Styela clava: one gene and its partners. The protein of the gene in region 3 interacts with the protein of the main gene of each other region in a pairwise test. Links are inferred from orthologs where the notes say so. Each region holds a gene or a part of one and is shown on either strand. Other genes may lie near its edges. The genes, in order: peroxisome biogenesis factor 10-like, peroxisomal biogenesis factor 19-like and peroxisome assembly protein 12-B-like.

What was found.
Region 1: the proteins of peroxisome assembly protein 12-B-like (region 3) and peroxisome biogenesis factor 10-like interact in a two-hybrid assay, tested with the Homo sapiens proteins (4 studies listed by BioGRID, with this or other methods). The link is inferred for Styela clava from reciprocal best matches to the Homo sapiens genes PEX12 and PEX10.
Region 2: the proteins of peroxisome assembly protein 12-B-like (region 3) and peroxisomal biogenesis factor 19-like interact in a two-hybrid assay, tested with the Homo sapiens proteins (4 studies listed by BioGRID and IntAct, with this or other methods). The link is inferred for Styela clava from reciprocal best matches to the Homo sapiens genes PEX12 and PEX19.

The regions. Positions count from the first base shown.
Region 1 is NC_135257.1:20,076,340-20,082,854, forward strand, and holds peroxisome biogenesis factor 10-like, read right to left. Parts: upstream 1,662-6,515; 5' UTR 1,520-1,661; coding exon 626-1,519; 3' UTR 585-625; downstream 1-584. Other genes in the region: phosphomannomutase 2-like, read left to right, coding at 2,215-2,988.
Region 2 is NC_135254.1:4,399,263-4,406,987, reverse strand, and holds peroxisomal biogenesis factor 19-like, read left to right. Parts: upstream 1-4,724; 5' UTR 4,725-4,742; coding exon 4,743-4,865; intron 4,866-5,906; coding exon 5,907-6,135; intron 6,136-6,652; coding exon 6,653-7,344; 3' UTR 7,345-7,482; downstream 7,483-7,725. Other genes in the region: uncharacterized protein LOC120332696, read left to right, coding at 1,151-1,361; uncharacterized protein LOC120332725, read left to right, coding at 3,897-4,172. UniProt on the Homo sapiens protein: Necessary for early peroxisomal biogenesis. Acts both as a cytosolic chaperone and as an import receptor for peroxisomal membrane proteins (PMPs).
Region 3 is NC_135261.1:12,937,392-12,945,144, reverse strand, and holds the start of peroxisome assembly protein 12-B-like, read left to right. Parts: upstream 1-4,717; 5' UTR 4,718-4,829; coding exon 4,830-4,967; intron 4,968-5,527; coding exon 5,528-6,018; intron 6,019-6,649; coding exon 6,650-6,770; intron 6,771-7,479; coding exon 7,480-7,574; intron 7,575-7,753. Other genes in the region: manganese-dependent ADP-ribose/CDP-alcohol diphosphatase-like, read left to right, coding at 539-1,570; protein AMN1 homolog, read left to right, coding at 2,676-3,227, 3,698-3,946. UniProt on the Homo sapiens protein: Component of a retrotranslocation channel required for peroxisome organization by mediating export of the PEX5 receptor from peroxisomes to the cytosol, thereby promoting PEX5 recycling.

The DNA of each region.
Region 1 (6,515 bases), on a different chromosome or scaffold from region 3:
AACAATTAAATGTAAGTCTATGAATTATACAATTATTTAGAGTCAGATTTTTAGTGAGAGCAGTCATTGAAGTGGGTGTTTCAGAAACCTACAAGTTATCATATTACAAAAATGTGATTCTCAGATACCTTTTAAAGGTGTGGGAAGCTCAGAACCACCCATTAGAATACACTGGTTATATTTACACAGTAAATCACCAAACTTCGTGATGATTTTGAATAATTTGAACAACAAAATTGGTATTGGCTATGCTGATCAACACTTGAAAAATCAGAATTGGCAATTTATGATGATTGAGCATTCTCGAAGGTTTTAGAATATATTTTATGTTCAATAGACAGATAATTTATTAATACAGAGAGATAACTTCATCTTGGCACAAAAAATAGGGTGTCTCAAAAATGTTGCACCTGGGTGCATTGGACAATCAGGACACAAAATTTTCGAGCCACAAATGACACAAACACAAGTGATAGCCTATAGAATATAACTTAAAAACACATGAGATACTTTCCAATAAGGATTTAAGCTGGTGAGCATTGCAATATATGTCTGTGATATTAAAACGCAATCTATTTTGGGGACAGATTCAGAATAGTGAATTATTGTATCTGGCGCTAAATACTCATTCAAAATTCATTAAGCAAACAAGTTTATTTGGCTTCAAGCTTTCTCTACAAATCGGACATTCTGGTTTCGTATTTATCCAGGAATGAATACATTTCCAACAAAATAAATGCCCACAAGGGGTCACAGTTGTACGATTTCTCTTTTCTAAACATAAACTACATTTCATATCGGGTTTGTCTTCTTCAATTATGGAAGCTTTACTTGAATGACTGATGCCAAATTTTTCAGCTTCGCTATTGCTTATTACTGGCTTTAAATCATTGCGAATAGAAATAACATGCATAGCTAGTGCGATCAATGATTGTACTAAGGACATATAACCTAGTAGCTTAAAAGCCGAGCTTTCAGGCTGCTGTGACATTCCAGGGAGGTTATATTTTACATATTGAATGCCAGCAAATCGTTTTGACATGGTGTGATATATCCCTTGCAAATAGAAGGCAGATAAATGTAAACGGTTTAAAACATTGAAAATTAATCGCACTTTTTGTACCATATCTTGCAAATTTGTATGATTATGTAAATGTTCGCTTTTTGCAAGTTTGTTTTCAAGATGGCATAGAAATTTGTCAATTAAATATGGTAATAAAGTATGAAGAGCAATCATTATAAGTCTACTAAAACGACTTGGCAGCCGGTTCATTGTGGGACCAACTTGAATAATTTGAGTGTATTCCTCTCCTAATGTCTGCAAGTCTCCCAAAGTTGTGAGTCCAAAATAAGCCATATCCGACAGTAATTGGATTTCTTTGTTCCATCTTATTGTTGTTTGTGGCCCGAAAATCTTTTTCGTGCCATCGTTGAACAGACCTCTAAGATAATTGAGGTAAAACTCGTCTTTTTGTGCAGAGGAGATTTGAGCCAACGATTCTGAAGGCGTGAGAGACATTTCTGATTCTTATAGGCGAAAATGGTGGGAAAAATTGCTACCGCGCAATGCCAGAACAAATCTTACATACAGCTTAGCATAATTCTGTAATTTATGAATTGCAAGCAAAACAAACGAAGAGATATAAAGTCAGAGCAGTCGACTTTGCAAGATCATCATACCTCCGGTTTAACTAAACATCACAATTGCAGACCGAACGATGCTCAATTTTATATTTTTTCAATTTGCCTGTTTAATTTATTTACTTATAACATGAAAAATTGTTATTTAATGTAAATATCATGAAAATCCTATCCTGAAATTATATCTTCACCCAGACAGGAATGAAAACAATGCATCGGACTTCACAAAATAACCACAACCACGGTTTGACTAAATAGAACAATTGCAGACCGAAAATAAATGATACGTTGTTTTGTATTTTTATTTACTCGTTTTTGTATTTACTTCATTAATTTAAAATTGTAACATATTCTAGAATTATATTTTTCAAAAGAATATTTTACAGAAATGTGTTTTACTGAAAATCAAAATTCTTCGGTCGATTGAGCTTCGTGGGCGTGTACCCCCAGGCAACCAATCAAATTCGATCACACGTTATGCCAAACACGTCGACAGGAATAACCTATTCTATTTTGCCAGCGATCGCAAGTTTTTGGCTGTAATTTCAGAATTTGGGTGCTAGATAAAGTATAATGGGCGATATGACATGCAGAAATACAGACGTTATATTCCTTTTTGATGTTGATGGAACTCTCACAGCGCCTAGGCAAAAAATTTCCAATGAAATGAAAGAGTTCATGCGCCAGATTCGCAAAAAAGTCGTTGTTGGAATTGTTGGCGGTTCCGATCTTTCAAAAATCACCGAACAACTTGGATCTTCTGCTGATGAAGTTGCAAATAGCTATGACTATCTGTTCTCAGAGAATGGACTTGTTGCCTACAAAGATGGGAAACTTATTCATGAAGCGAATATACAATCTCATCTAGGTGAAGAGCTTATTCAAAAGTTTATCAACTTCTGTCTCAAATACATGGCAAATTTAGAGTTGCCACTAAAACGAGGGACTTTTATTGAATTCAGGAAGGGTATGCTCAATGTATGCCCTGTTGGACGTAGCTGCTCACAGCAAGAACGAGTAGATTTCTTTGAGTATGACAAGAAGCACAATATCCGCAAAGACTTTGTTGAAACTCTACGTAAAGAGTTTAAAGGCAAGGGAATGACATTTTCCATTGGTGGACAGATTAGTTTTGATGTTTTTCCAGATGGTTGGGATAAGCGTTATTGTCTAAAACATATTGAACATGAAAATTTTAAGAAAATTTATTTCTTTGGTGACAAAACAATGCCAGGTGGGAATGATCACGAAATTTTTGAAGACCCGAAAACAATTGGGAAAACAGTCACTTCACCAGAAAACACAAGAGAGCAGGTTGAGAGCTTGCTCAAAACAATGTCACAGTGATATCTAGAAAATATATACCTGTATGAGATATATTGAAAATTTGGTTCATAACAAAATTGTACCAAGAGTTTTTGAACACCTTGATTATCAGCTGTTTAATTAATTAGGTAAGTAATATATTTGTACCTCAACCTGGTAGAACTATGAAAAATAAGAGCTGAAAGATATTGTCATATTTGGCTACAATTCTGTTTTAGTATGTCTGTAATAATTTCAATTCAAATATCAAGGAACCATTGGTTCTTGGAATTGGAAGAATACAGACCATAACTTTCGTCAGAATTGCTCCACTTTTGATGGACTGTACTTCTGCACTTGGGTGTTACCGCTTCCGCTTCATTGCAGTATAACATTATAACTCACACCTTATTTTTTCTACTTATGGTTTAACTTTAAATGAAGTCTGTTCTTTAGTTGTATTTTTTATTGCGTGTGTTATCGTTTGCTGAAAATGGTCACTCGTCAAGTTTAGTTTCTTCATCCAGTATAAAAATAGCTTGCAAAATTTAACACACAATGTACTGGGGAGGGAAGCTGTAACCAAAGCTGGTTATCAAGCAGCGAAATAACAAAGAGATAAAACATGTCTGTAATTTATTTAAGATAAAATAACCTCAACTGTTGCATCATGTCTCAACTAATCAAGGATAATATTTTCGACTCGAATAGAAGAGACACACATGCTATTCAAGCTGAGGCAGTTTTCACCTTGGGTCTTTTCTTGAGTAATTAATTACTGATCCCATAGCATTGTTTTTATTGGTAATAGTCAGATTTTTTTATTGATTTTATTTTCAATAGATTGTAACTGAGAACAATTTTATTTTCGAACGAGTGACTTTTTTGTATTCATACCAACTTTTTTCACTTGATAAACTTTGAATTGCTTATTGAATAATCATATAGCTAATGTTTGTTGATTGTTGCCCATTTCGAATGTTCTGCTTCGTGGCTACGCAGACAACATCTAAATTTATCAAGTATACGCTTGATTGTTATGCACTAATTCAGCGTTTCTCAAACTATGTTCAGCAAGCTTTTTCGCAATACTGCGGGACAAGAATCAAAATTGCGACTGAATTGGTCATAGATGTACCGGAACAAAAATAGTTTGAGAAATGCTGGTAGCTTTTATATCTCCACTTTATATGTAGCAACTTTATTAAATAATATAAAATTTGTAGAATTTGCGAACATTCACAGTGTACTGAAAAGATGGCCTGGTTTATTTGGATGGAATTATTCTGGGAAGTTTTAATTCATTGGCTTTTTAATCCGGATATGATCATAAGATGTCTTTGGTATTCTAATCCTCCATGTTCAATTTTCCTGAATTGCCCATCATTGACATTAGTATTATATTTATGTTTACCAACTTGTATGGGTAATTCCTAGCTGAATGGTGCTATTTTGAAAAGATCATGCCTTGGGATGTGAAATTTGCGGTACCCAGCCACATTTCAAACCTAAACTAATGGAAGCAATGGGTCACTGTACAATTGAGGCTCTTCCGGAGTTTAATTAAGATCTCAATAACTATCAGTATTGCCATATAGATCTAAGCAATATCCTATTGAATGTCATCCCTAATTGTGCCCCAGTTCTGAAATGTTACAGTAGTAACGTAATCCACGCTTGAACATTGAAATAAATGGATGGTGACATGCAGCTTTCTTTTGTGCACTTGGAAGAGATTATTCTTGAGTCGTACTTCGTTGCTTACTTTGTTTGTAATATTTTAACATTGTTTAATATTGCAATTTTAAAAGTAGTTTCTTGATGCAGTGAATTTTCTACTGGAATAAAGCTTTTATATGAAATAGTGAACAATTTTGTGGTCTTCTAAAGCCGGGAAATAGTTATCCACCTGACATCCATGAAGTGCACGCGAGTATTTCATATATTTTTTTTTTATTTGAGGTAGAGAGAAAATGTGACTCATCTATAAGCAAAGTTACGGGCAACCATTGAGATGCCAAAAGCTGCTGTGTGTTGGTTTATATAGGATTTAAGGTTTGTCTAATATCGCAAATGTCTTTGCTTCTGTGTGTTACAGTAAGGGTGAGGCTTTTTTCGCATTTACTGCACAAACGACCCTCATTTCTTTGATATATAAATGAAAACATTCTTCTGTACCATACGTAGCAATTCTCTTCGTAACTTAGGACGCACTTTAGACTCTCAATACTCTTGAAAACCTACGTTTTCGGGAATTCGGCCGAATCCACTAGCTGTTGCGGTCTAATTGAGCAATTGGAAATTTTGGACCCCCCTCCCCCCCCCCCCTTTGAAAATTCATGGCTCGCCTCTGCTCACGACTGCGTTCGCTATCAAGTTCATGCATCTTTGGTCTCGCCCACCTCTTCATGCACCCAATTCTGGCAACTTTGGTTGGGCAACTTGGCATTTGACCCCAACTATAATCAGCTTGGCAATATGTTTTCAATAAAATCTTCCTTTCAATAGAATCTTCCTTCCGCGGCGGTGTGGCTCAACGGGCTAAGCGTTAGGAATACGCTCGCCACCGCACCTCTAATTACTCTGCGTGGGTTCGCGGGTTCGAATCCCATGCAGGGATGGTTATGTGCGAGAGGATTGCTGGACTCCTCGCCGTCGTTGGGTGGTTCACGTAACCGCTGGTCGGTTACGGCTTCCTCCACCACCAAGTCCATGCTTCCGAAAACAAACAATACAGTAAAAACTAATCCCATACCCGACTTGAAATGGTAACCGGACGAGAGGCCGTGGTTCGCCATATGGATAAGCCGTCCTATCGGCTTTCCACTCCCCCGGGATAAATATGTAAATCCTATCCTACCCATGAAGGCTTGAAAAATTTTAAAATTGCAAAGGGAGTTTATTGATGTCATATATTGGTTTGGCCCTCGGATGTATTGTATGAAGTAAGTATAAAACAACAAACTTGATTAACTTTATAACAAAGTTGAAAAGGGACAATATGAACACCATGTATATATATTTTTCAATCATTTACTGATGGTATTTGTTTTATCTCCTCCTCCATGTGCATCGTAAAAACTATATGCAGTTGTCCCCAGGGCCAACTGACAAGCTGATCGGAAGCGGCCACTCATCTCCAAGTAAGATGATTAAAATGCAAATGCGAGGTTTATTTACATTGCCCAATTTAATTTAAAGGCCTACCCGGAAAGTCACCCAACATATTTTCGCATTAACGAATTTGAACGACCTAAAATTGATCACACATCAACCTGCGTTTTTTAAAACACTGCACAGGTATCTAAGTTTGCCGCCTGTCACACGTAGGTAGATATTCAATTTTGCAAATCCGTCAAAGTTACCCACCTAATTACCAGGATTAATATTAGCGTTAGAGATGGGCAATGGTTATGGGACATATGGTTACCCTGCATAGCGCTGTTACGCAGGGGATGACCGCTGGATTCCCCGCTGTCGTGGGCGACTCCCAGAATTGCCGGATGGTTACCCTTACCACTATAACCGAGGCTCACGCACATAGATCATCTTTACCCTAATCGGACCTG
Region 2 (7,725 bases), on a different chromosome or scaffold from region 3:
AAATTCTTCTTTGAAGTTCAAAAATGAGCCATAACTCAAAAAAAATCAAGATAAATGGCAATTTCATTTTTTGTTGCATACTAAGGATAGAACATTTCGAAAATACCTTGAAATTTATTTTGAAAAAATCTCATTTTTAAATAAACTCTATAGTGAAATTCTGAAATTCAAAATTTTTGACTATTAGGTACCTATTTTATAACAGTGATTTGAAAGGTTGAATACTACAACATATTTTATATTATTCCTGGAAAATGGATACTGCATGGATTTTAGAACTTCATAATGTGAAATTAATTTTCACTTTCGTAATTAATAATCCTGGCCCTCACCTTTAATATGCATGAATCATTGTTTTTTAATTGTAAAGGGTTTCTTTTATTCTCTTTTCTCATCTCTGAATAACCTGTTTTTAATAGATGTTGGACCAACCATCTAATAAGAATCTTACGAAAAAGCCTAAAAAATGTCTAAAATTCATCTGTTATGAAGTCATGCCATTCAAATCTGCTTTGTCATTCGGTATAGTTTTAAAAGCATCAATTAGAGGAACCCTCATCAATCTTTATCTTCGAATTATAGAGTCCAAATTGAACCTAGAAAACTAGACAATAAATACATTTGCTTCTTTGCTCTAAACAAGGATTTAGATAAGCAACCTTCTGAAGCTGAATCTTTCCATTTATCATATCAAAGCTCACCTTATTTCTCCCACTATGGGTTACACGGGGCTAAAACCTGGGGTAGTTGATCTTTCTGCTATCAATAAGGTCTCAATTTAAATCAGTGGTTCTCGAACTTTTTAAGCCGCGCTCCTTTTTTAGAATTTGTCAAGTCTTGCGCCCCACCTGAAAAATACTAGCTAACGATAAGCTTCAAATATCAGATAGTAAGGCGATAGTATGTTTTATTCAAAAACACGTTGAAAATATGGATGAAACACAAATAACCAAAATAAAAGAATCTAAATATCCAAAATAAGGCGAGCAAGATCAAATCTAACCTATTTATATTTCCAATTAACTTACGTCCCCTCAAAAAATTGTGGCCCATCGTTTGAGAACAACTGATTTAAATCATCCCAGTTCTTCAACATGAAAATTTTTTTATTAAATAAATTTAAACTAATAATATTATTTTTATTTTTTAGGCTCACTGAAGCAGACGTGATGACTAAAGACATCTTCAAATTTCACAAAACCCAAGTTACAATTTCAGTTTATAACGACCAATTTAGAATCCGTCCCACAATCAATATATATAATAGTGAAAATGATTTGATGCAGCTAAAAAATGCTGTGGTAACATATTTGAATGAAAATTATGCCGATTATATTGAATATAAATTGCCTTGTAATTAGAAAGGTGTAATGTTATAACAGGGTATATCATTTTAACTGGGGACCTGTTAGTTCCAAATATACCCAATTTTGGTGCTTGAAATTTATGGTGAAAATTATTGTTTGCGTATTTGCCTTTAATTGTTTTTTGTATAGCAGCCGCTTGAATCTGAGATGATTAAAAGATTTTTCAAAGTGGTGGTTAAATGAAATTTAGAATTTCACTGTTTTTTTTAACTAATAAAATTAACTCTTGTGCTGTTTCATATATGGTTTAACTGTTTAATATATTAATTTATAAAGTCCGAGCTAAACTTCAATATTTAGGAATAATAATTTCTTCCCCAGAGTAAACTCTTTACTCTACATTGGTTGACAGCCCTTTGATATTTGTTGAGTAGTGCCTATGTATATTTTACTTTTGATCAAGTGCCTTTTAAGACTTTGTGATTATAACTTGAATCAGACTTTTGCATGTATTGTGATTTCTGTGAGCCAGGGTTGGTGTCCATAAAGTCTTGTCACAATTTCCATTTCGTTATGAAGTCATTTCTTGATATATGTCAACCATTTTATTAACACTCGCAACCTTTGTCGGCATCGCCAATATAAGGCTGACAAATCAAACCCTGTTACGAAAATTCTTTTTCGTTATATCAATGATTTCTGTAAGTGTAAAAAATATATGAAAACCTGTAACTGCATTTTCATAATGGACTGAAATTTCACCCAATATTCACTATGCATATTCAAATACTGTCTTCTCCCGTGTGGAAATGAGCAAATCTACGAGATTTTTTAATAAAGACAAACTTAGTTGTAGCATATTCCTTTTTTCATTTCAAACTATCCCATTTCTGCATAAATTGCACTAAATATAATACAGCTATCACCAATTTGCCTCATTACATTTATTCTATTAATTATACCCACAGTGTATCATATATAGTCGATTATTAATAAATATTGTTACTGAGTATATATTTCTATGGTTTTAATTATGTTAATGCAATTGCTTTTGTGCAGTGAAAGAACAAATCAATTCTATTTCATATTCTGATAATACAAAAATATGCATGTGCAATTATTAATAGCAGGTGAAAATTAAATTAAAAATGCTATGCTAATATGCTTCATGGTCTGTTGATTTTGGGCTTTTTAATGGGGATGCCGAAACAAATAAGGTAGATAAAAGGGAATTTTTATATTTATCTTCAAAAGAGGTATAAAATCTTTCAAACATCAGCTTCCCATATGGTTAACAGTCCCAACCATATCTTGCACTGCTGTAGTTCACCATTACCTTTTTCACATGCATTGACTCGATGGTTGCAGTTTGTGAACAAATCTACAAAGGTGAAGTAATAGGCAGCACTGTGGATCAGGATTTGAATCCATGAACTCTTGTAGTCAGAGGTGTGATGGTAATTTACCTCTCACCCTTAAGAGGGACTGATATGATAAGAAGGGGTATTTCAACCCATTATTAGTATTGGTTTACCTCCTTGTCATTTTCCGTCACCTGAAAGATTGGAACAAGAAAAAGCATTTAGATCAATGAAAAATTATTTCCAGCATAAATGTATGTAAAATGAACTTCGTCTCGTAAATATTGTGCTTGCAAGTAGCACTTTCTGCAAGACATACAAGCGCATATCGTTTCAGAATTGCACTGTCACATTTGGGCTCCCAAATATAGTTGAAGTAGGTATAGGTAAATAGACGGTGTGGCTAAGCGCTCGGAATTCAACCGCACTTCTGATTACCCTGTGTGGGGATAAAGGATTGCTGGGCTTCTCGCTGCCGTAGGTTGTTCACATAAGGGTGGTTTTCACCGAACCACTGGTTGGTTACGCCTTCCTCGACCACCAAGTCCATGCATCCGAAACAAATAACTGACTAACTAATCCCATACCCGACATGGAATTGTAACCGGACGAGTGGCCGTGGTTCGTCACATGATTAAGCCGTTAAGTCGTCTCATTCCTTTCCTCCCACCCTGGATATATATATATATATGCAAATTCAATTTTAGTCGTGGTCGTTATAATAAGGAAACAGAAAAATGTATGTATGTATGTTTATTTGCCTCAAAAATGTAACAGTGTCTGCATAATAATTAAACAGTAAAACAGAGACGGGATAGATACATGTTCAAGACCTTACTGGTCTAAGATACAGTTGTGCGACATGTACCCCTAGAATGTGCCCCCGAAGTGTGCAATCTTCAAAATCTATAGATTTCAAACCAGACATGAATTTATTTGGTACCCTACAATTTAAAAAAAAATGCATAACTTTGCAAATCTCAGGCTCAACAGAATTAATTGCGAGTATAAATATATATTATGGAGACATTTTCATGCAGGTTCCGGATTTCATCCGGAGCCACTCCTGCACAATACCAACGCTCGATCGGATATTTCACCTCATTGCAAAACATTACTCGCTACGCGATTTACTCACCTGCAATCTGTTATATTTTGTCGTTATTGCTGCATTATTTCAAAATATTGATTACTTCTACGTGTTTAAAGTGAAGAAAAAACGTTTAAAATGGATTTTGATGCAAACGCTTTGCAGGATGTCACGGAACAGCTGAAAAATAATCCAGATCTTGCAAGAATGCTGATAGAAGAACAACAGAAAATGGAAGCGCAAAACCAATTGAAGGTCATCGTCAATAAACTGACATCAGACTGTTGGAATATATGTGTTGATAGAGTTGGAAACAGCCTTGGAAGACAAGAAACATGTCTCACAAACTGTGCTGAAAGGTTTTTAGAATCTGACCAGTTTATAAGGCAGAGAATGAGCTCTCAAAAACAGTAATCATTTTTGAAAAACCTAATTACATTTCAACCTTTTAGGAAATTGAAAGTCAGGATAAAAGCCTTTTTGCTACTTGAAATTATATCCTCCTGAGATCATTAATTGTTGTCTGAATCCAAAATGTTTAAATATGAGTGTATTTTCCGTATGTTCTGCGATACTTATGTCAGGTTTGGTCAGCTTCATTCAGACTTTGACACGATTTGGAACCACCAAGGCGTGACTGATCAGAATATTCTTGCCTGAAAATAAATGTGTCAGTGCTGCTATTTTTCGCTTTTTGACTCCCAGGTTATTTTGAGGTCAAATTGTGTTAATTTAACTAAGCCATTATTGTCTTTTGAAAAATAGCGTCTCCTATAGTGTACAGTCTGACAGTGTACCACACTTGGAGACTAGACCCCATTTTATAATTCCTCATGGCCATGTAATTTTGTTGTCATTTCCAATCTGTGTTACCAACGATCCGATCATTGTTACAAAATGTACTTTCTGAGTTTGAATCAGTTCTAAATTATTTTCCTGTAATTTTCTTTTTGTGTCTTTTTAGTCAAAAATAATTAAATAATAATGGATGCGGATTTAGATGATTTGCTGAACGATGCTTTGTCTGACTTTGATAAAAAGCCAACAGAAGTAAAAGTACCTGTAGAAGGAAGTGAAGAGAAAAAAAATTCACCAGGTTCTTCGAAGGTAAAATGCTGATAGAATGAATTTGGAGAACCATTTTTTTATGCACAGTTTTCTTTGCACCTCTTTTGTATGGCACCTTTTACTCCAAACATGGCCAGGGATGATGCGAGGCGCAGTTCTTACCACTCCATGGCAGCTCCTGCCACAAACGAACCGCGGCAGCTCTTGCCATGGTTTTATAGCGCTATTCAGTATTCAGTTATAACGGTATATTCACAAATTGATATACCCAATTTTAATTGATCATGCGAAATTATATCTACTCAAACCCTAACCCTAACCCCAAATCCATCAAAACTATCCATAAGAAAAACGTTCCAACTTACCCAATATTTATCACCATAAGGGACAGCCCTGTCTTTACGGCCCACCTGCTGATGATGGCCGCTACGGCCAAACCCATGGCGACTAACTTTCTAGCTGCCACAAACCAATGACAGGCTGCCATTGCCGCGGCAGCAAATTGAAAACCAATGGCAGGTAAAATTTTGCTGCCGTAACCACGGCAGGTGGGCCGTGAAGGCAGGGCAGTTCCTTATGGTGACAAATATTGGGTAAGTTGGAATGTTTTTCTTATGGATACAGTTTGGATGGATTTGGGGTTGGGGTAGTAGTAGATATAATTCCGCATGATCAATTAAATCTGGTACATTAATTTGTGAATATACCGTTAATACTGAATAGCGCTATAAAGCCATGGCAAGAGCTGCCGCAGTTCGTTCGTGGCAGGAGTTGCCATGAAGTGGTAAGAACTGCACCTCCAACCGGTACTGAGCTGCTATTTCTCTAAAGGCTTTAAAACAAGCATTCTGTGACATGCAAAAGGCACAATGACTTTTGAAAAAACCAGAATACTATCTGTTTGGAAATTTATAAAACCCTCTGGTTGTATTGATGGATATGGAGGTTGAATTTAAGATCCAAAGATGCGACGAGTAGCGATTTTTCTTTTGAATCGGCTTCTTTTATAATAAGGACCTTTATTAGTTTCCTCAAAGTAAAACTGTAGAAATGTCTGTAAAACAATATTTTTATATTCAGTCTTTAGAACCTCCAAAAGATGTTCCTGCCAGTTCACCCTCGTCTTCAACCTCTCAGAATGTGAGCGTGCCCCCTCCATCAGAAATATTTGATCAATTTTTTGACAATGAAGTTTCTCAAAGACTTCAACAAGAGTGGGAATCCGCAATGAAAGAATTAGTTAATGATGACCCAGAACTTGCGTCACAGTTGAAGAATCTTCCAAGTACTATGGAAAATGCTGCGTCAGGTATGATATGAACAAATGATATATATCAGTATCAGTTCTCCAATTTCAAGATGCCCTGACATTTAGTTCAATAAACACCATTTGATGACACCATTAGCACATAGTTTGGTTCAGTGTGCTTTATCCGCTTCAGTGTCTTTTGTTCGCTGCCTCTCCTAGATATGGCAAAAAACTGATATGGGTTTGGAACCTATCGATTCTATATAAATAAGCTGCTATCCCATTATACATAGGTTCAACTTGGGGACATTATGCTACAACACACTGGGGGAGGCCCCCAATTATGCCTCAGGAAATTGGCTCTCTGGGCAAGATAGCCAAGATATTTAAATTGAGTCTAATGAAGGAAATTTGTCTTTATACACCAATAAGAGGCGACAATGGTGTTTTAATCCAAGATTTCAATCTGCGATGCTAACATACTGGTAGTTAGGTACAGCGCTCTAGGCATCATAGGGCCTTTTTTACTACCCTGTTCAAATCTAATGTTTATTTTGTCTTTTGTTATATTTTTTAGGGGGTGCCGTGCCTTCTGCAATGAGTTCTTCAAGCAATACCGGGCCATCTGGAAGCAGCGCAGGTCAACGACAAGCTAGCCCTGCAGATTTGAACAAAGTGATGGAAGACACAATTTCTGGAATTGGGAGTAGCGCTGATGAACTAAAGAATATGACAGGTGCTACCGAAGAGGAAAAACTGCTCCAAGAAATGAGAAATTTAGGGATGGGGGGAGGGTTGAGTGACATGATGGGTCAAATGGGGGACATGGAAGGGATGGAGAATAATTTTATCTCTATGATGGAAAACATGATGGAGAATTTATTGTCTAAAGACGTTTTGTATCCCACAATGAAACAAATTTCGGAGGTATACCCTGGCTGGTTAGAGTCTAACAAGGATAAAGTACCTGAAACAGACTTCAAGCGCTATGAGCAGCAAAGTCTTGTTATCGTTAAAATTTGTAAAAATTTCGAGGCCGATAATGAAAATGACACCAAAGAAGTGAAAAAGCAAAGGCTGAACGAACTTATGGCTTTGGTAGAAAAAATGCAAGAATGTGGCAACCCTCCCCAGGAATTATTAGAAAAATGTGGTGGGGAGACACCCATGGACATGAGCAGAATATTTGGGGCTGGAGGAGGGGGATTCCCAGGTGGCGGGAACATGTTTGGGCCAGATATGAATCCTGAAAATTGTGCAATTATGTGATTAATTTTCTAATTATTTTTAAATATTTTCAATTGATTATTTATTGATAATTATTAATGTGTTTCAATTTGCTTCATTTAAATTTCATTTCATTAACACTGATATAATTTTTTAAACAAGATGATTGTCAACTATAAGTGTGTTGCCAGATTTATTTTTCAAATTTGTATCGCTGGTTTGAGTTGAAATGGGATTGAAGCCTTGTTTGACGGTGTCGACACCCACCTAAAAAGATCATGGGACTAAAAAGTTGTTTGGGAAAAAAGAAGACTCCCATTCTGATGACTCAGTAAAAAAAGTTAGCGGGATGATGGTTTTATTCAGTTTGAATACCACTATAATGCTAGAAATGATGCCGATCTCCACAGTTCTGAAAGGTTT
Region 3 (7,753 bases):
ATTTTTCTATCCCTTTCTGCAATTGTTTCATCTAGCCATCGCTATATTATTATTATTATATGAAAAATTTTAGATGTAGGCTTACATTGTAACATTCTAATTTCATACAGTACCATGGTAGTTTCTAATATTGTTATCATTTAATAAAATAGAGTACTTTCACTCATCATTAATTATGCCACATAGCTTTTGTCCACCCATGAAAGAAGAAAATAATACACTTGCCAAAAGTGATATCCTACAGAAATCATCTTTATGATACAAAAGCTTAGGAACAACCCAAATACTATCAAATGTAAAAATAAAATATGTTTTCTGTAAGACAGTTGAATACTATATCTAAACAGTACATTATAGTATAAATACTTTTAGCTCTATTAGTGTAAGCAAAATCTCAATATTCATTAAACCAAGTATTTTATTGATATGCACCAAAGATTTGGGTAGTTTAAAAATTTAACCATGTCAACTTTTTATATTGTTTTGTGTAATAACTTTTAATCTGAACGATCCACTATTTTCTGTAGGTGTAATAGTAATGTCATCCCCAATATTTTCATTTGGATTAATTGCGGATGTGCAATATGCAGACATTGACGATGGGATGAACTACAGCAAAACAAGACATCGGTACTATAGAAAAGGTTTGCAATGTCTACAACATGCAATCAAGTACTGGAATACTTCAGAACAAACTTGCTTCGTATTACAACTCGGAGATATAATAGATGGGATGTGTCGCAATAATGGAAAAAGTAACGAAGCTCTTAATAAAATATATGAGTGTTTGATTCAATATAAAAAACCAATAGCTCACTGTTGGGGAAATCACGAATTATATAATTTAGGAAGAAACGATCTTTTGAAATCTGTTTTACTTCCAAGGTTTTCTATTACAAATGAACCAGCAAAAACAAGTGAAAATTCTGGTGAGATCATATTTTATACAAGCGAGAAAATGCGTCAAGATGGACTTTGTTGTTATCATTTTACACCCGGCAATGGATTTCGTTTCATTGTTCTTGATTGTTACGACATCAGTGCTCTTGGGAGAGAAAATTCTCATCCAAAAAAAGTGACCGCAATGGAAATTTTAAACAAAATGAATCCAAAAGAAGAAAAAAATGATCATACAAGCGCCGTTGATCCGAAATATGTAAAATATAATGGAGGCGTACATAAGGATCAATTAGAATGGCTCGAAAGTATTATACAACATTCACAAAATCATAATGAAATTGTTGTATTGTGCGGCCATATCCCAATACACCCAAATGCAACTGGTGGTAAAATATGTCTGGTGTGGAATAATCAAGACATTTTAGATATAATTCATCGTTATTCATGCATTGTTGCATATTTTGCGGGTCATGATCATGTAGGGGCTTATTTTTGTGATGAAGATGGGGTTCATCATTGTACTTTCGAAGCTGCACTAGAAGCGGTTCCCAAAAGTATTGGGGGGAATGAAACTGCATTTGCAACAATTGATGTTTACGCTGATAAAATGGAAATACGTGGCGAAGGTGACATTAAATCACAAACTTTAAAATATAGAAATATGCAATAGAGTTATAATTTTGTACTATATTCGATGAATTTCAATTTTTATCATTGCTGGGAATAACGCACTTTTAGCAAATTTTAGATATGTCACTTCTTACTGATATGCAAAATTAAACAATATTTTTACTAATAGACCATCAACGAACTGTAACTGTAAAACTGTTATTTAAACTGAAACTGAAGTCCTAAAAATTTTGTCCTAAAGGTGTATTGTCAGTCAATAATTATAAAGACTTATTTACATATTTATGATCATATTGAGTAAGTTAAATTTGTTAATTTGATAATTTCCATTCAAATTCATATATTTGCATTATGCAATTCACTTTTATGCAGGAATTGACAGCACCTCACAGACGATATGAATTATGAATAATATTTTTGGATATGAAATGATGAAAACTATATATTCTAAATTTGGTCATTTGGTCCAGCATATAAATTTTTGTCATAAATCAATATGAATTTGGGTTTGTCTATCCAGAAAATTTTAGCACAGTGATGCATTGTAATTGGTTTTTCTCTTAACACATTTACAATTCGAATGAACTTTGATATTTTTGCCGAGAGCATCAGATATTAGCTGCTCAAAATGAAAAATATTAAATTTTCTAAATTACTGGTAATTCTAAAATGAAGAATATAGTATGAAGAATATAACCAATTTCAAATGTATTCGAACAATTGATTTATTTCGGATTTCATTGCTCGCGACTGCTACAATCATTCAGCCTAATTTTAGGAGTGGGGTGGGTTTTTAGGGTTAGACTATTGATGGGTGTTAGATGCTTTCAGTCACTTTTTTTTTTTTTATTGGCCACTGCCGTTACCTTGGTTTCTGCTTTGGTTCATAATCTCAACCAAGATTTTAATGGTGCATTTGCTTGTCTTTCAGATATTCATATTATTTTTTGCTGTACTGCAGTGATTATGTTTTTATGCCTTATACATTTCATGGCCAAATAATTGATAGTCTGTAATTAAATATCACTAGTACCAAGTTGTGATTGATTAAATGCACTTGTTTGATTTATATTTTAACTTGTCCAGACGGATATGTATTGTTTGTAGTTTTTTCATGAGGTGTTGCCAAATAATTTCATCGGATCATGATCAATATACAAAGAACAGTTTTCGGTGGAATTTCTTCACTTTTTACGACATCTCTACACGTTGTTGCTCATAATCTTAATTTATATAATGAGGATATCAAGTTGTTACCACCCAGTATAAAGAGCAAACTTTTGTATATTTTATCAAAAAGAGGGATTTTAAGTGATGCCAACATAGAATTTTGCTTGCACGCAAGATTAAAAGAAATTGATTTAAGTGAAAGCGATGTCACTGACGAGGCATTGGCGACAATCTCAAAAACATGTATAAACTTGGTAAAAATTGATTTAAATTCTGCAAAAGAAAGCCGAAAGACAATATCTAATGATGGAATTATTAAAATAGCACGAAGTTGTCGTTGGATTCAAGTTTTCTACCTTCGTCGGTGTTTGAACATTGGTGACGAAGCAGTGGTGCAAATAGCTGTAAATTGTAAAAGCATAAAACATCTTAATCTTGGTGGTTGCTCTGGTGTCAGTGACAGAAGTCTACAAGCGCTTGCTGAGAATTGCCCTAATCTTGAAAGCCTGAATGTCTCTTCAACCAAGGTAAAATTGGAACATGTCCACCATGTTTTTTTTTCTCAAGATAGTTTGAATAAGAGGGGACAAGCACTATGGTTTTCTATACAGTTAATGTCATAGAATATAACTAACTTCCTTTATTGAATAAAATCTTATCCTGGGTACAACGGGTTAATGAGAACATCGGCTCTTTCTCCAGCTAGTTATGCTGAGAATAGTTAAAAGTGAGGATTGTTTTCAGAAAAAAATCAGTTATTTGAATTATTTATATTTTGAAATCTTGTACCTCTGACTCCAGTGCGAATTTTATTTAGTAGAAACCAAACTGATGAGCCAAAAAATGCATATATGTCGTTTTGATAGAATAAAATGCCTGCATTATTTAAAGATTAATTTACGATTTTAGGTACTGCATTTTCCAAACTCATTTTACAGAACAGTTATATTGTAAATGTAAACAAATCTTACTTACATGTATAAACTTTTATATTTAGGTATCTGATAATGGTGTGTTTCAAATATGTAAAGGAAAATGTTGCAACACATTGACAGAGTTTCATATGGCATTGTGTCATAATATAACTGATGAAGCTATTGAATGCATTATCGAGTATTGTCGTAAAATTCGAATTTTGATATTTCATGGATGCCCAAAAATCACAGAGAATTCGAGAATAGCATTAGAAGAGCTTCTTGCAAGAGAATGTTCTAATGTGAAGCAACTGACTTGGACAGTGTATTGAGGATTGTTTGCTCAATTTGTTCTCGTGTGGCGAAGCCAGAACCAAATGTATTTGTGATAATACATATTATGTCCAACCATCATATAATTAAACTTATCTTATCGACTGTTACGGAATAAATATATATATAGTTTTTTTTGGTATTCCCAAATGGTGAATACAGTATCACTGTATTGTTGAATCACTGTGTAAAATCACTGTTGTCAGTGCTTTTTTGGAGTCTCCTTCAAAAACAAAGTTTTGTAGCATTTATCATTACAATGAAATAATACTGATATTGCCCTTGGAAGTTTCATGAATTCGTGAAGAGTCATCTGTTTTCGTTTTTAGTGTCAGGTTTTTGTTAGATTTAAAAATTAATCTGTTTTATCAATGTAGAGTAGTGCTGTGGAGTCTCAGCTAACAAGACATTTAAAAAATGACTCCGACACCCCGCTGACAAAAAATTGATACTGACTAAATACAGTGTCTACTTATTGAGTTCCTCCTAAGTTCCTAACTCCCAATTCTGTGAAAAACACATTTTGACTGATTGTCTGTTGAGAATGCTTGGTCATCTTGATGTTTCTTAGTTTATGCTTTGTGTTTAGTTTATGAAATTTTGACTTCAATAATCACAATAGAGGTATGAAATTCAAGTCTCTGTTTGTCTTCAACTTCAGGAGAGTTTGGATCCTCGACTCCAATTTGAATAAAAACATGCCAAACTCAGACTCATTGCTCTTTGTAGCTCACTATGTAGCATAGCTGTGGTGAATGATTTCTTGTCCCTTATATTTTTTCAAAAACAAGTAAATTTTGTGTGTTTTGATATTTTCATAGATGATCGTAGATTAAAGAATCCTAATTATTTATTGTACTTATGAAACTCTAATCTAAAGCCATGGCGGACATGTTTTCTGAAACTTTACAAACAGCTGTTGCAACACAAGAAGAATATCAACTTCCTTCAATATTTGAAGTTTTAGCTCAAGAAAATTTACGAGCCTCTGTGAGACCAGCTTTTGAGCACTTAACTAAAGTAAGTTTGATAAGATTTTAGGTGCGGATTTTTTTACTTTTCGCATAATCATGAGTTACTTCGACAAACAGGTTTTTGGAGAAGCTTACTCTCTCTACCATAATAATCGATAAAATGTAACTGGAAGTCATGCCTGGTTTAGACAAAGTCTGTTTATTTTAAAAGGCTGTGTGCCCTCATTACACAACACATTCTACTTTTAAAAAAATAAAGTGTCTACAAAGGGCGATTCTCGCAAAATGTGAACTTTATATAGGTAATTGTATTTGATTAGTTATCACTGAAATGTATCCAAGTTGTGAAATAATATGCAAAAGCTGTTAAATATGGGCATTGATCTAGTACTTACATATGCAGGCTGTTCTTATAGTATCTGTACAATTTCAAGGGTTTATCATGATAAGCCTTTGAATTGTGAAGAGACTTTGGACACCTTGTGTATCTGAAGTCCCTAATCTGAATTAATCAAATGAAACTGAACTTCATGCTGAAGGGTATTTAAACACCAATTATCAATCATACTTCATAATCAGCTTGTCAATAAACAATATTCTTTTAAGGTTCTTGCTTCTTACAAACCAGCAAGATTTGGTTGGTTACTAGCGTGGTATGATGAAATCTTCACAGCTATTGAGCTTTTGGTGCAACATCATTTTTTATTAGCTCACATTGCATCCTATGCAGAAATGTATTACGGCTTACGAAGGAAAATAAAAGGTTTAAAGGTGCAATCACATAACACACTTGGAACAAGAAGACATTTTTTGACCCTGGTGACTCTGTGTATTATCCCATATATTGAAGAGAAATTAAAGAAAATGTATGATAAAATTGCGGACCGACGGGAGACGCAGGGAAATCAATGCACTGTGACTATTATGGAAAGACTCATTTTTCGTTTATATCCAATTATGTTCTCATCTTGGGAATTTTGGAAATTATATCTTCAATTCAAATATGCAATTCATGAAAATAAATACCCTGATCCATTTTTGAAATTATTGAGAATAAAACTGGTTGTCGAAGATCCCCAAGCTGCTTCTCAAGCAAGGTATGTCGTTATTTTACTTATAGAAAAATTTGACTTTACTTTTCTCTAGTCATCTGATACCCATATGAAAATATGTATGTCTTGTATCCAGGTATTCAGATATGGTGAAAACAAAACCTTGTTCTGAACACAAACTTCATTACTTCAGCTTTATGGGGTTGCTTGCATTTTCTATACGTAACAGAAAAAAAGGAATCTATAAATTTCTTTGAAAATTCTACTAAAATGAAGAAAATATATTCAACACGTAAACATATGTTTATTTATGATTGTACCCAAAAGTTTCTAAGGATATGATAATCTAGGACGATTTGCACGAAAGTTATTTTCTATCTAGTATATGTTCCGCATTACTTGGGTTCTGTTCATTTTGAATCACTCTGTATATTGTAATTTTCAGTCTTTTCGATAAAACAATACAACTCATTATTAGTACGGTATATTGGCCAGCTGGCTAGATTTTATTAAACCTCTTGCGCATACTTTTTGGTAGTCTGATTCTTTTTCAATGTTTAATTTGCCTGAAAATCCACATTGTTTTTGCATGATGTTTAAAAATAAGAGAATTTTTTTGATAAACTTAAACAATCATCCATGGAACAAATAAATGAATAACCCTTTTGTTTTATAGCGGGAATGTTGTTAGCCGAGCTTTGACAAAGATGATTGCTGGTGGAGTGCATGCTGGAGTCTTTGTTCTTCAATTCATAGACTGGTTTTATCATGATGCTAATCAAGCAACAGTGCAAAAGGTAAGATATTCGGATAGTATATTCATACTTCATACATAGCATTGCAGCAAGTGACTATGCTAACTTCCTATCTGTTCAGCAATATACAAGGTCAATAGCAATTCTGCATACTTCCTTATTGTATTGTGTGTAATTTGAGGTTGTTAAAAGTTATGTATCAAGTAAAATGGAACTTTTCATTCATTCCACACAAAGCATATCGATATAAGTGCTGTGATAAAAACTTAATTGGCGGTGTTTTGCAATTTTTTGTGCATGTGTCTTTTTAGGGCATATAATACTGCTACAGTTTGATGAAAAGTCATATGTACCACGTGTACGGAGTCTGGTGAAAAATACATGGTGAAAAATACACCCTGTTTCATTTTGACTTTGACCCCAGGTTGGAGGAAAATTAGAAGCTGACTCAGCTCGGAGAAGACTAATTTTCATAGCAAAAACTTGAGCCATTGATTGCCTTCTATTGAGAAATCATACTGAATTATATAAAAAATTTTGCTCCGATCATCACCATTACAAGTCTGAAACAACGACCCAGTAAAATTTGAAATTACAACTCCACTCCACAGCCCAGATATGAACAGTGACATTTCACTCCAAGAAGATTGAGATATAGAACTTGATTCAGCCAGTATGACCTAATACTCACCCCAGCGAAATATTCCTGTATATTGGTATTATAATATACTTACCTAGTTATTTTATTTAGTTGACACAAGCACCGATTCCTCTTCCGCCGCATGAATCATGCGACAAAACAATCATTCCAGTTCGGGACAACATAACTTGCCCTCTATGCAACAGGTTTGATTCCTTCTATATATTAAAGCATGCATATTAAAATTCAAATCGTTTTGGTGTTCCCCAAGTTTAATTCAGTTCAGTGGTTCTTAACCCAGGAAAAATACCTCACCAAGTGAGGAATTTCACAATTCCCACTTTTTGTGATACAGTAGTTTTAGATATAGACCAGTGACTAAACA